2 linked regions of the Canis lupus familiaris genome follow. The protein of the gene in region 1 interacts with the protein of each later gene in a biochemical or structural test. Links are inferred from orthologs where the notes say so. Each region holds a gene or a part of one and is shown on either strand. Other genes may lie near its edges.

The links.
Region 2: the proteins of KEAP1 (region 1) and AMER1 form a complex in vitro, tested with the Homo sapiens proteins (2 studies listed by BioGRID). The link is inferred for Canis lupus familiaris from reciprocal best matches to the Homo sapiens genes KEAP1 and AMER1.

Annotation. Positions count from the first base shown.
Region 1 is NC_049241.1:51,048,492-51,052,690, forward strand, and holds the start of KEAP1 (kelch-like ECH-associated protein 1), read left to right. Parts: upstream 1-1,399; 5' UTR 1,400-1,577; intron 1,578-1,816; exon of another isoform or gene 1,817-1,973; intron 1,974-3,553; 5' UTR 3,554-3,600; coding exon 3,601-4,199. UniProt on the Homo sapiens protein: Substrate-specific adapter of a BCR (BTB-CUL3-RBX1) E3 ubiquitin ligase complex that regulates the response to oxidative stress by targeting NFE2L2/NRF2 for ubiquitination.
Region 2 is NC_049260.1:49,175,434-49,185,696, reverse strand, and holds the start of AMER1 (APC membrane recruitment protein 1), read left to right. Parts: upstream 1-3,717; 5' UTR 3,718-3,910; intron 3,911-10,263. UniProt on the Homo sapiens protein: Regulator of the canonical Wnt signaling pathway.

The sequences.
Region 1 (4,199 bases):
GGGCTCATCTCACAATTCTAAGATCATGACCTGAACCGAAATCAAAGTCAAAGCTTAACCAACTGAACCACCTAGGTGGGCACCCCATCCTTTGTTTCTTAAATTCCACATATGAGTGAAATCATATGGTATTCATCTTTCTCTGACTGGCTTATTTTGCTTAGCATTATACTCTCTAGCTCCATTCATGTTTTTGCAAATGGCAAGATTTCATTCTTTTTTATGAATAATATAAATATATACATCTTCTTTATTTGTTCATCTATGGATAGACACTTAGGCTGCTTCCATAGTTTGGCTTAGATGGGCTCTTGTTAAAATAAATACATTTAAAAATTAACTTTATATCATAATCAGCATGAATGGCAAATCAGTATCCCTTGCAGTGAAAAATAACAATTAGGGCAGCCCTGGTGGCTCAGCGGTTTAGCGCCGCCTTCAGCCCAGGGTGTGATCCTGGAGACCCAGGATCCAGTCCCACATCAGGCTTCCTGCATGGAGCCTGCTTCTCCCTCCTCCTGTGTCTCTGCCTCTCTCTCTCTCTCTCTCTCTCTCTGTCTCTCATGAATAAATAATAAATAAAATCTTAAAAGAAAAATAACAATTGTTCATATCCACTGGGCACTAGCATTCCCATTTCACCCTTATGATCACCTTGCAGGTAGGTTTTACAGGGAGGAAATTGAAGCGTGAACAGGTTGAGGTAGGGACCTATCCCTTCGGAGCTGGACAGTGGCGGAGCCGGGCTTCAAACCCCTGCAGGCGAACTTCACACACCTCTAGACCGGAAGTAACTAAAAAATAAAGATAAGGAGGGGCGCCTGGGTGGCTCAGTTGGTTAAGCCTCTGCCTTCAGCCGGTCAGAATCCTGGAGTCCTGGGATCCAGCCCCGCATAGGGCTGCCCGCTCAGCGGGAAGCCTGCTTCTCTGTCTCCTTCTGCCCCTTCCCACTCGTGCGGGAGCTTGCTCTCTCACTGTCTCTCAAATAAATAAAATCTAAAAAATAAAAATAAAAACAAAGAAAAGCCAACTAGGTAAATAAATCTAGCCGGATCCTTCACCACTGGACCCAGAGCTGCGTGGGGTTAAAGGGAAAAGAGAGGGTCGGGGAGAGCAGCCACACGCTGAGATGCTGAGATCCGGGGGATGGAAGGGGCCAGCGCAAGTGGGGACGGACCCCCTCCCCCCCCGCCGCCGCCCTGCTCCCTCGCCGTCGCCCGCTCCGCGCCCAGGGGCGCCGGGCACCTGCGGGAAGGGCGGGGAATCGCGGCTCCCTCCCCGCCGCGCCTCTCCGCCCTCTCCCCGCCTCCTTCCCCGCCGACCCGAAGTCGCCCCCCCACCCGACGTCCAAGACCCCGCAGGCTTTGACGCCCCAGAGCCAAGGTCCCCCCAACGGCGGCCGCGGGCGCCCCATAGCGAAAGTTAGGTGGGAGCCGCCCCCGGCCGGGCCGCGGAGGGTTGCTCTGGGGGTTTCCGGGAAGCTCTGCGCACGGGGGCACCCCTGTGCCCGGAGCCACTGCGGTGCCCCGGGCATCCCCGCCCCGCGGCCGGAGCTACGAGGCTGCGCGGGGGCCGAGGTGAGCGCGCGGCCGGGGGGGCTGCCCATCCACCTCCAGTGCAGGCAGGGAGGCGCCGGGCCTCGAACCCGGGCTGAGGTTCCCGGCGGCTCCGACCACGCGGCCGGGCGCGCCGCAGTGACGGGCCCGAGTGGTCGCCCCGCCGGGGCTGCGCAGCTCCGAGACCCGCGGCGGCGGGGGGGGGCGGGGCGGGGCGGGGCGGGGGGCGCGGCGCATCCGTCAGCCCCGCCGCCGCCGGAGGCCCGGGCCGCGGGGACTCTTATTCTGACACGGCCGGCGCCCGGCTCTGCTTAGTCATGGTGACCTGCGCGCGCTCCGCGCCTCCCCCCGGCGCGCAGCGATGGAGGCGCCCGGGCCTGGGCGACGGAGGCGGAGCTCGAGCGCGGCCATGGCGGGGTGAGTGAGGCGGCCTGCGCCCGGGCTGTGGGTACGGCGGGCCGGGACGGCCCCGGGGGTCGGGGGACGGGGCGCCGCGGGCCCGGGCGCCTTGGGGTTCCCGCGGCCCCGCGGGGGGCCAGGAGGGCGAGGCCCGAGTCCTGGCCTTTTGTTGGACGGCGCGACTCGAGGGCTGGCCCGGGGGCTACGCAAGCCGGCGAGAGGCCCAGGCAGCGCCCCGCGACCGAGGGCCCCGGAGCCCGGCGCGCCGGGGAGCTGGGAGCGCGCCTCGGGGCTGCCAGCGGAAAGGCCGCGGCAGGGTCACTTCCTCCCTTCTCCGGGCCTCGCTGGCGGCTCGGGCAGGGCATGCGCAGTCCCCCCACCGCTCGGTGGGGAAGAGCCCGGTGTCCAAGGGGCACCGTCGGCCGCCTGGCCGGAGACCAAGAGGCTGGGCACGGGCCTCGGGCGGGGAGAGGCGGCGAGCGGCCCTGGGCCCGGTGGAGGAGGGTGCTCCGGCAGGCAGTGAGGCGGGCAGCCGGCCAGCCAGCCACCGCGTCCTGACCCCTGAGCAGTGCCAGGCCCCAGGCAGGACGTTGGGGAGGCACATGCTAGGGTGGGCGCGACCCTGACCGACCCGGGGCTCCCTGCCTCCCGAAGCGCGGGGCTGAGAGGCGGAGGCGCCCGCCCGCCCTCAACAAGCCAGCGGCCGAGCTCATCGCCGTTTCCGACAAGTGCGGTGGTAGAAGTAAGACAGGGAGGAGAGGACTGCGCTGGGTCCGGGAAAGATAAAGGGAGAACCCGGGGAGCCTCTTGCAGATGCCCCTCTTCTCCCGACAGGACCTTTCAAAACAGCTCGTGCCCTGGCCCTCCAGCCTCCTCAGGGTTCACGGAAACCTTCCCTTTAGCAGGATTTCTTGTTACACTCCTCCCTGATGCTCCAGCTGGTCTCTCTCGCTCTGCCTCCGAGCCTTTGCACTTGCTATTCCCTCTGCCTGGAAAACCCCTTCCGTGTGTGCATCCTTCTTGTCTCCGCTCTAACAGAGCCCCCGACTACCCGATTTAAAGTAACTGCCCCAGGCCACACTGTCGCAGTGCTGTGGTCCTTTTCTTCATAACCCCCCGTTCCTACTCAGGTCTTGTTTGTTTTACTTATGGCCCATCCCTCGCCAAGTGTCCTCCAGGGGGGCACAGTTTATGTCTGCCTGTCTCCACTGGGATGTCTCCGGTTCCTGGTACACAGTAAATAATCAGTAAATGTTGGTGAGGCCAATGAAAGAATGAGCTAGATGTGCTCTGTCTAGGAAGGGAAGAGGTGGACAGAGGCGGACTGTGTAGGGCTTTAGTAGGACACTGAAGAGTTTGGTTTCACTCATTGTGCTGTAGGGAATTGTGGGAGGATTCGGCACAAGGGAAAGACATCATCTCACCTGTGTTTTAAATTGGACTCTTGGGCTGGTGAAGCCATGTGGCGCTGAGTGAGCACAGACGGACATTGCTTCACCTGGGCTTGGGAAGGAAAACTGGTCTAGGAGTCGTTTTATCGTAAAAGAGGAGGCCTGCCCCCAGGCCCTGCCCCCAGCCCTGTGCTCTCCCTCCTCCAGGCCTCTGAGTGCCAGTGGTGGTGTTGTCCCTTGTCACCTGGAACCCCATGCAGCCGGAACCTGGGCCTAGCGGGGCTGGGGCCCGCACTCGATTCCTTCCCCTGAGGTCACAGCGCCCCGAGGGGGCAGGGGACACGGTGATGTACGCCTCCACCGAGTGCAAAGCCGAGGTGACGCCCTCCCAGCACGGCAACCGCACCTTCAGCTACACGCTGGAGGACCACACCAAGCAGGCCTTCGGCATCATGAACGAGCTGCGGCTCAGCCAGCAGCTGTGTGACGTCACGCTGCAGGTCAAATACGAGGACGCGCCAGCTGCCCAGTTCATGGCTCACAAGGTGGTGCTGGCCTCATCCAGCCCCGTCTTCAAGGCCATGTTCACCAATGGGCTACGGGAGCAGGGCATGGAGGTGGTGTCCATTGAGGGCATCCACCCCAAGGTCATGGAGCGCCTAATTGAGTTTGCCTACACGGCCTCCATCTCCATGGGTGAGAAGTGCGTGCTCCACGTGATGAATGGCGCCGTCATGTACCAGATCGACAGCGTCGTCCGTGCCTGCAGTGACTTCCTCGTGCAGCAGCTGGACCCCAGCAATGCCATTGGCATTGCCAACTTCGCTGAACAGATCGGCTGCGCTGAGCTGCA
Region 2 (10,263 bases), on another chromosome or scaffold:
CCTCAGCTCTGTGATATGGGTACTATTATTCCTATTTTGCAGAAGAGAAAACTGAGACTCAGAAAGGTGGAATAACTTGTCTAGATCACATCACCCCTAAGTGATGGGGCCAGCATCCCAGCTCAGGCAGGCTGGTAGCAAAGTCACTACACTTGCTTCCCTGAGAAAGATAAACTTAGCTTAGCTGAGCCTCAGTCTTTTAGCCAGTCACGGTCTCATACACTGGCTCCAGACCTACCTTTTTTAGCCCCAATTTTCAGTTCTTTCTCTCCCCCTATACCAATATGCACCATCCCCAGGTGTCCAGAGTCCTAGCTCTTGCCCAGCCTACTACATCCTCTAATATTGATGGGTTTTGGATTGGGCAGGAATCTTTTCCCTAATTTCATGACTTGACAAAATCATCAAGGTCATCCCTTCAGGGGAACATTTATCTGATGCCCCTCTCCACCCTTGGGGATAGGACGCTCTTCATCTACAATGCTCCAGATCACCTTTGCCAGACTAGCATTCAGCTCCTCTCAGAACTCCATCCACAGAGTGCCCATTCTCCCAGAATGTTACCACTGTACCCCCCTCTTCCCAATGCTTATCACCAGGCCTGGCATAGAGGAGGTACCTATGAAACATTTAGTAAGGAAAGAAAGAAGCACTGTATTCATGTGGACCAGTCTGTCTACCAGAGTTTATTATGAAATTGCCTCCACACAGCCTGCTCATCTGTTCTTATAAGCTTTTCACTGCAGCTACTGTTGTGCCCAAGATTGTGAATCCGAGAAACCACCAAGGAGCCGACACCGATGCAAGCGCACGAGGGTTTATTAGCAAGCTCAAGCTTGGGTCCAAGTATACCCGACACAGGGGAGCAGGGACTTGGACCCCGAAGTGGGTTACAGCTGGGTTTTTTATAGGCTGGTCTAGGGGATTTTCAGAAGGGGTGGAGGAATTTCTCAAGTTCTGTTTACATTCTGATATGGGGCTTTCAAGGGCATTGAGCTCTGTTATCATTCTAATATGGGAATTTCTACCACAGGCGTGGGCTCTGTTGTCTTTCTGATATGGGATTCTCTGCCCAGGGCAATTCTGAGCTCTGTTGTCTTTCTGATATGGGATTCCCTGCCAAGGACATTGAGGACATTCTGCAGTCCCCCCCCCCCCCCCCCCCCCGTAAAGTTCAGCTCTTATTCACAGGGGCCTAAGATGGCTGTACTTGTGCTAATGCTAAACTTTAGGTGGGATGGCCTTAATTTTTCTCGGCCTCCACACTACATTACACCAAGCAGCAGAGGTATTATCCCCATTTTGTAGGTGAAGAAACTTAAAGTATTCTTGCTCTCCCATGACCAGCCCCTATAGTGATCAAACAAGCTGATCATGTGTCAGTCAGCATGTGGAAGTGGGGCCTGGAGGACTCCCTCTTTGAGAAGGCATTTTGAGTTACAAGTTTATGCCAATACTTGGTCGTTCCATACAATGTCTCTGGTGAGGAGTGAATCATACAAGTCAAGAGCTGTGCCACCTCATCACCACCCTCTCCTCCTTAATGTACACATATACAATATCATCCTGAGACTTAGAAATATCAAGACCAAGAAGAAGGGCACACAGCTGGGAGACCAATTTAGCATGTCAAAGACTACTTTTGTTTTTCTAAAACCCTTTATCTTTTGGACCCAGTCCAACTTTCAAGGCTAACTGGTATGGCAGAATGTTTGGTAGCTGGGAAGAGGACATGGAAGACTACCTCCTGTAACAGGAGTAGCACAGCAGTACCTCCTTACCTCACAATTATTTCAAGCCCATCACTGGACTGTTTGCACAATTACTATCTCCCTATTCCCATAGCTGAGACTGCCCTGTCCCTGTTTTGCCCTTGGCTCAAGATTTGGAAACTGTCTTCCTCAAATTGTAATATTTGGCCTACTTCAGAAAATCAAGGTTTTGGGTGAAACATGAACAAATGGCAGGCAACTAGAGGCACAAGGGAGTTGCAGAAGACTATGGAGGAGGTGCTGAAAAAAAGACATCTCCAATTCAGATCCAACAAATGAGAATCAGGACTTTACAAAGCACAGCTCCAGGGAAATATTATAGTTCAGCCACCCATATGGGAAAACTAAGGCTAGGGAGGAGAAAGTACCCACCCAACAAAGTTACAGGGGCCTGTAAGTTATAGTAGGTGGCTCCCTACTCCCTGCCATTTATCCAGACTCAGGACCAAATTAGGAGGTCTGATGTTCAAGTTACTGATTTTTGTTGGAGATGTATAGAATGTCATGGAAGTTGGAAGAGATCAAGGAACTCGGTCAATCTTATACCTTGCTTGTGGAGATGAGGTGATAAACTGTCCCAGAGAGGAAAATGGACTGGCCAACGTGATACAGCAAATCTGAGGTAGAGCTGGAGCCAGATCCCAGCCCTAACAGCCATGGAAGTTCCTGTATTCCACACATGCAGAGGCAACAGTCCTCCTCTTTCCACTCTAGCAGTTAGATCTTTTCAAGGCATACAGGACCCTCTAGAGTAGCAGAGAACACTCCTGCTGCAATGCAAAAATAGTAGGCATTGTTCTCTAATCCCTTCTCTCTCTCCAACTTTAATCCCCTCACCCTTTTCAGATATTCAGAGTTTTAGGGTAGGGCTTTCTGGATATTCTTGAGCTAGTGGTAGAACTGGATTCCTTATTGCCTCATCTCACTAGTCCTTGGCAGCCCCCTACTGCCCTCAGGCTGGTTAAGACCCAAGCTCAGGCTGGCCACCTGCCACATCCCAAACACAGAAGCCAGCTGGGCTGGTACAGGCTTCCTCACTCCACCCTCAGCCTTGACCTCCAATCTGGGCCCACACAAGATTTTTCCCTCAATTTGTAGACTTTTCAGGGACAGGGAAATGTACAAAGCCTGGCTTACCATGAAAAGGTTGAGGACCCCTCTAGAGTCCTTGGAGATCCCCTCTTGTTGCATGAAAGATGGGAAATTTGGGTGAGGGTCAAACTACAGGAACAGGTCTCTCCAGAGAAAACTGAAAGCAGTGTAGGACAGGAGCCTGGGGTTCTGAATCCCAAATCTGCCCCGTCGCTGGCAGGCTAGGTGATCTCAGAAAAGTGCCTTCCCTTTTCTGAGCAACAGCAGGCCCTTAGGTGCAAACTGACCTCGATGGGCTCTTGGTGTGCCTGAGAAGCCAAAGAAGCTGGGGCATGGACGCTACAATTAGATTTCCTGGCAGGTGAGTCCCCCCTCTGAGTGGCCTGAGGGCGGGTGCCACCTAAGGTTGGGCCTGGTGAGGTGTCAAGGGTCTTCGCAGTCCCCCAGGTTCTCCAGCTTCTCCGCCCGGCCTCTCCTTCTAGAAGAATAAACTGCCGGGTGGCGGTCAGGTCGCCTCAGAACGATTGCACAGAGTCCACGGAAATGGGAGCTTAATGCAAAACCGAAACCGAACTCCAGGGTTCCAGCGAGCCCCATCTGGGCGGGACCGGCACAGCGAGCTCGCTGGGTAGCCAAGCCCAGACCCGCCAAGTGTGGGGGCGGGAATAGGGAGTCCCAGCAAGGGGTTCTTCACCCTCTCCGCCTTCTGCCCACACCACGCCCGTGCTTATTTGCATTTAAAGGAAAAGGCACCAAGGAAAACAGTGGGCGGGTCAGGACACGCCTTCCTACAGTGGCGATTGGGCCACACGTCTGCCAATCAGGGCGCGGACGCCCCACCCTGTGTCTGTGGAGTCGTTGGGGAGGGGGTATGGGGGAGCTCCCCCAAGCCTGGGGAAGGGGAGCCAGTGCAGGAGGTGACTGGAACCGCGGTGGCGGCGGCGGGAGCAGCAGTGGCGGTGATCTCAGCCACAGCAGCCTAGGCTCCAGCCTGGGCCAGTGCGGCGCAGCAGACAATAACCGGGCTGGAAACCAGACTCGGCCGGGTAAGCGTTGCGCGCAGCCGGGAGCCTCCGCCTGCCAGCAGTCCGGTGCAGTCCCGCGTGCTCCGCTCTGGCACCCTGAAGAGCGGCTCCAAGAGCTGGGCCAGTGGGCGTTCGGGCCGCTCTCCGTTCTCCCGGGGAACCAGCTTTGAGGACTGGCTGGTGAGGGGAAAAGCAAAGTCCTCTGGGAGCGGGCGACCGCGGCTAGAGAGGGCGTAGAGGGCGGGTAGGCTAGCAGGCTAGCCTGGGCCATTCCTCCAGGCTCTCGGGGCAGGCGGGGATGGGGCCCACACGTGCTACCGCAGGGGCCCAGGGGGGGGAGCCGCCAGCCAGCACCCCCAGCGGTGCATTTGTAGGCCGGGAGCTCCGGAGCTCCGCAGCTTTGTTGTAGCACATTAGCTGCAACAGCTGTGTTACGTGGGTATTGCTCACCCCAGAGGCCCAGCTGCCGCCCCTTCTCCCCTGCACATCCCCTGCCTGCTTCTCCACTCTGTGGGATGGAGCCAGCGCGCTGGCCTGGGCCCAATGGATACTAGCTTTGGCGTGGATTGGGCTATCCACACTGTCGGCCTTCTCTCCCAGAAAGCTCAGTTGGGCCTGTGGGCTGTCCACTTAGGAACCTCGGCCTTGTGGGCCCCAACCAGCCTCACCCCCTGCTCCTGGGCCTCCAGGCACATCTTGCGCCCGCCCCCGCGGAAAGGCAGACTGGCAACGGAGTTCTTGCTGGACCTTAGGCTGGGGCTGCAGCTCAAGCTAGTCCTTGGGTTAGATCTGCAAGGCCGCTTTGTCCCCTCTCAACCCGCCTCTTCTCCCCTTGGAGAACACAGGCCGCTTTTTTCTCTTCTGCCCCTCATTTAAAAATAGTGATAAGCATCGTGTTGGTGGGGGGATTTCTGTGCCAGAGGCCGAAGGAGCAATTATTGTAGTAGAGAACACACTGTTTGTGTCTGTGTGAGAGAGGTAGAGAGACAGCCAAACCCTCCAACTTCGCAGTTACTTAAAATACCCAGCCTGCTGAGCTGCTGTCATTGTCTACCGCTGACACCTCTGACACAGGTGACCACCTGACTGCAGGACTTTGCCTAGGCTCCCTGGCAAAGACAGGCTGTGGCCTCCATGTGATCCACAGTCCAGGTGCCCAGGTAGCAGCTGAACTAGCCCCACAGAGCTGGCCTCGGTTTGGTCAGGCTCATCTTGTCATGGCCCACATGGTCAAGGGGAGTCTCCTCCTGCACACAAACATTTACCTCTGTCACTCTGCTGGCCTGCTGCACAGGCATGGATATGGGCTAGGTGGAGGGTACTGTGCTATTAGACTCCCTGCCCCACCTGAGGGCATTTTAGCAGAGCCCTCTCCCGGCCATTACAGCTTCTCACATTCATCCTCATCCACCTCTCAGTCACTGTCCCATGGTTTTCTTCTGGCAATACACTCTAGGCCTTCCCAAGAACAGGAGAGACAAAGTGACCAAGCGGCTGGCAGGCTCTTGGACCTTTAACCAGTCTCTGAGGTGGCGAACCCTGTGGGCTGCAAAAACTGGGTATTTGAGAGGAGTAAATCCCTCACCTGGGGGAAGGCTAGCTGGGGACCTTTGTGACCCAGCCAGGACTGCAGATAATGCACAATAGTCACTTCTTGCCACTTTGACCAGACACTAACAGAAACCAACCCTCTGCAGCTAGGGCTGCAACTCAGGGCTAGACCTGCTTTTCTGCCCTGCCTCAAACCAACAGCCACCTATTTCTTCCATATATAACTCCCCTCCTTACACCCAAACCACTGCCCAAATGCTTTTCCCTCTCAGGCCTTAGCTCTGGGCCCAACTTCTCCTGCGTATCTTTTCCGCCTGTCTCTTGCAACCCGTAATGACCTCTTCTTTCTCAGAACTCCTCCAGGCTTGCCTGCATCCTTTGGCCACTTAGGAGCCTAAATTATAATAGGAGACAAACTATAATTAGGTCTCCCTGCCTCTACTTTGTCTTCATGATATCATGGATCATTTACCCACAGAAGGGTAAATGAAACCTTGAACTCAGCCACAACCCCCTCAAAGCCTAGCAATGCATAACAATTCATGAATGCTCCAGAAGGACTTGCTGTCCTTGTGGATATTTCAAGAAGATCTTCTCCAAGTTACACTTGTCCTGATCCATATGAAAGTGATTAGAGAAATGATACTCAAGGCTCAGATATTTATTGAGTATACCTAATGAGAATGGAGAAGGGTGATGGGTTGCAACTATAAGAACAAAATAAATCATGTCTCCCTTCAACAGCAAGCTCAAGATCTATACTGCCTAGACCCCAGACTACACATATCTTTGGTTGCTGATTCATGAGCCTAGAGGCAAACTACTGTGGAGAGAGAGAAGAAATCTGTATATGCAGAGAGATCACCCTGGAAGCTTCCAGAAATTAGAGGGATTTGGCTAGGTATAGGGTAGTAGTATAAGCAAAATTAGGAATGTGAGGGTGTGGCTGGTAACCAAGCTGAAAGATGTGACTTCAGGTTGAGATTGTTGCATTTAAGGTAGAGAGGAGATTGGTGCCCAGTGATGGGTATTCCCAAATGTCAGGCTGTGGAATGGGCATCTTGATCTTGGGAGAATGGAAGAAAGGGCCATTGAAGAATGGAAAATTGGGAGGTTTTGATACTTCTATGTGTATATACAAATATGCCATAATACGGGATTTTAGAAAGAGGTCTTAGAGATTGAAAGCATGCTGTAAGTCGGAACTGTAAGAGGTCATCTTTGAATCTGGACATAGAACCAAAGGGCAGCTTTCTCTGGAGGAACTTGTGCCATGTTGGCTTCCCTTAAGCTTTGCAGGGGATGAAGTTGAAGGAGGGTGCCTAGAGCCTGCATACCAATATGGTGGAGGCTAAATATCTCGCAGGCCTCTGATGATCTCCATCCTTCCAAATGGACAGACCTTCAGGGAGTACCAGTTTGGACTCCTGTGCTTATGAGATGGAAATTCTGATCCTGGAAAGCAACAGGGACTTCCTTAAGGCCACACAGCATTTAGGGATAGGCTGCCACGGCAGAGGGGCTTCCAGCTCCCTCACAGATAGGCTACTCTAGGCTAGAAGAAGGCATGTCCTGTGTTATTCCATCAGTTCCCCTGCCTTGAATCAGTCCAGGCAAATAAACTAAGTGATAAATGTAAAGGCTCCAGAGGAGGCATTTCCTCCTTGTGTCACTCATTCCTCAGCCACACATCTCACACTGCCAGGAACTTCTTAGGGCTAATCTGAGCCTTTCATGCCATACATAAACTGTGTGTGCATGCTTGCGTGCATGTGAGCGTGTGTGTGTGTGTGTGTGTGTGTGTGTGTGTGTGTGAGAGAGAGAGAGAGAGAGAGAGAGAGTTGGGGGATGAAGTTGGGGGCAGCTGGCCATCATTGCTCCTGCTTAACAAACCATTGGAGATTTCATGGGCATTAAACTGTCTTTCCTACTCCCAACTTCTGTTCTCTGAATTAGATAGTCAGAGCTTTTCACCTCCTCTCCTTGGTCTTATTGTTCAAACCTGTGCATGTGTAAGTCTATCTCTAGGAATAAAGTTAGGGAAACCAGAGCCACTGAGGAGGTGTAGGTGCCGTCTGAGTGAGGGTGCATTGCTTCCCCACACCTCCCCTTTTGGGATTAGGGGATAATATAGACAATGAAGAAAATAATATGAGGAGTCTTGGTGGCAGCACAGGTAGAGATATACTGGTGTTACAGGGGCATTTGGGACTTTTTGATCTGCAGTTCTCGTTGCAGAACCTTCAGTGCTTTCATCTCCTACAGGATTTTTTCCCTGCTAGGCTTCCAAGCAGATACTAACTCAACTTCTCCATCCAGCACTCGTCAGTCCTCCCTGCTTGGGGGTACTCAGTGGAGAGAGGCTGGGCTGGCCCAGTTATGATACCCTTCCCCTCTGGACATATGGGGAATATTTGCAGGCCAGGCCTAGTGCTTTTTGAAAAAGTAAAATGTTTGGTGGGGTTCAGTGGAGGGAGGCATGAGAAGTGAGGCTGGGCTGTAGTACAGTGGTGGACTGAGCCCTATTGGCTAGGCATGTAGGCCTTCCACTGAAGCCTAGGACCCCCAAAATCACATGCCCCAACCATGGCTCCTCTTTCTGCAGCCACTGGAAAACTGGGCACAGGACTATCCTTCTCCTGGCTTCGCACACAATCTGGGGCAAGCAGACTCCTAGCTCAATCTCCCATTTCTAGATATGGAAACTGAGGCCATGAATAGGGAAGGGATTTGCTCAAGTTTACAAAGGAGCACAAAGATCCTGGCCCTCAATTCAAGATTTCTTCCTCTGAGTACACTGATTCTGATCCCCTCCCAAGCCTCAATTTCCTTACCTGGTCTCTCATATAGAGTATATTACATACAGGGCAGTGGATACATGGGTAAGTTCAGGGTCTCCATTGTTCATTTGGCCCAGCTGTTCCTCTTCAGGCTTTAATTGGCTACCTTGTCACATCTGTTTCCTTGGAGTTAGCTCCTCTTATTCTTCATCTCAACTTGGTGGGGGGAGGTGGTACCTGTCTTTGATGCCACTCTTGCTGGGTTAGTGCTGACATAGAAGCCTTACTATGCAGGCAAGGCACCCACCTCAGATATATTCCTCTCTAGGAAGTTTGGGACCCTGAGAAGGGAGTAGCAAATAGATGGCTTGGCTCCTAGAGCCCCCATCATTCCAGGCAAGCTGGGCAGGGAATCTCAACAGCCTGAGGAGAAGGTGGAGCATCAAGAAGGCTTACCAGGAAAGCCAATTTCTAGGAAGAAATGATGTCCTGGTGACCATACCTTCCAGACTATAGAAGTCCCTATGTGTTGAGGGCTAAAGAGTAGAGAAGTGTGGCTAGGAAAACAGCAGGAGGCATGCAATGTGAGTGAGTCCTGAAGGTCAGGAAAAGGGGTTTGACTCTGATCCTATAGGCAGTGTGGAATAATTTGGTAAGTAGAGGAGTGCTGCATTGAAATCAGGGTTGTAAAAATGAATCTGGCAAGAGTGTGAAGAAGATGAATATGGGGAGGGAAAGGTGGGATTTTAGAGTTGTGGCAGGGAAGAAGCAGAGGGAACTCAGCTAAGAGACTTGTGTCAACCTCAGAGGACATGGGCTGGCAGCTGAGGAGCTAGAGTGGAGAAGGCGGCTGCAAGAGGCCCTAGCACAAGGGTCTTTTATTGAATATCTGCTTAAGTAACTACCCTATTGATTTATAATCTCTGATTCTTACAGCAATCCTGCACGATAGGTAGCATTTTCTTCATTTTCTAGATAAGGTGTTTAAGTCTCAGAGAGGTTAGGCCAATTTCTCAAACCCTACCACTTGTAAGGGGTGAAGTTAGCATTTTAGTTCTGGACTGACAAACTCTAGCTGAATTAGATTTCAATTGAACCAACGTTATTTGAAATCCTGCTCTGTATTAGGTATAGTGACTATAAGATTAAGAAGGATCCCTTTGAGAGAGATGAACAGACAGTCTGAGGCCTGCCAGAATGAATTGCCCTTGGCTATGTATGCTAACTTATTTGAGGGGCTGGTGGTGGGCAAATGGGAGCCAAGGCAAGAGGGCTCATTTTGGGGGTCTGTGCTACATCTAGAGGTTATGGGATACTCCCTTGAGAGGATGTGCTCCTTAATGGTAAGGCTGCAAGTTAGGGGAGAGGTGGTTGCAGAGGTTGCTTGTGTTACCCCTGCCTGCAGTCTCTACACGAAAGTGTGTGAAGACAGGTAGCCTTTCCTTCAGGCCCTGAACAAATGGTTTTGAGAGTGTACCTTGGCTGTGGGCTTCAGAAATGGGTGGTTCAAGGTCCAGATCATCTCATAAGTTATTTCCTTTAAGCAGTAGCTCAAATTCTCATCTTTGTCCCCAGTGGCAGGTTTCTCTTTGACCCTTTTTTTGGCCCCTCAAACTTATCTCCCAAGGAAAAGGAGAATAAAGGCATATGTGCCACAGTTTGAGAGTGGTTGTGGTGGAGTTGCTGATGAGGAGAGCAGCCACAGTTTTGGGTTGGCAGCCCTTGGATTCTGAAGTCAGCAGGCATTCTGGAATGTACTAGGTGGGGCCAAAACAGTGGTAGCCAAGCAAGGACTGGAAATGATTCAGAGAAAGCTCAGCTGAGCTGGGACACGGGTGTAAGGAGAAGGGGAGATGATGGCTTTCAGGTGTGAGGAAAACCTGTTCAGTCCTTGCTCTCAGTCTTTCTTCTTGGATTTGGATTGGGATTAGCCCTGTGCAGCAAAATGGCATTGCAATGGAAACTCCAGAAGCCTGAGGGCTGGTGTGGCTCTGTCACCATCCCACTGGATGAACTTAGTTAAGTCTTTTCCCAAGCCTAGAA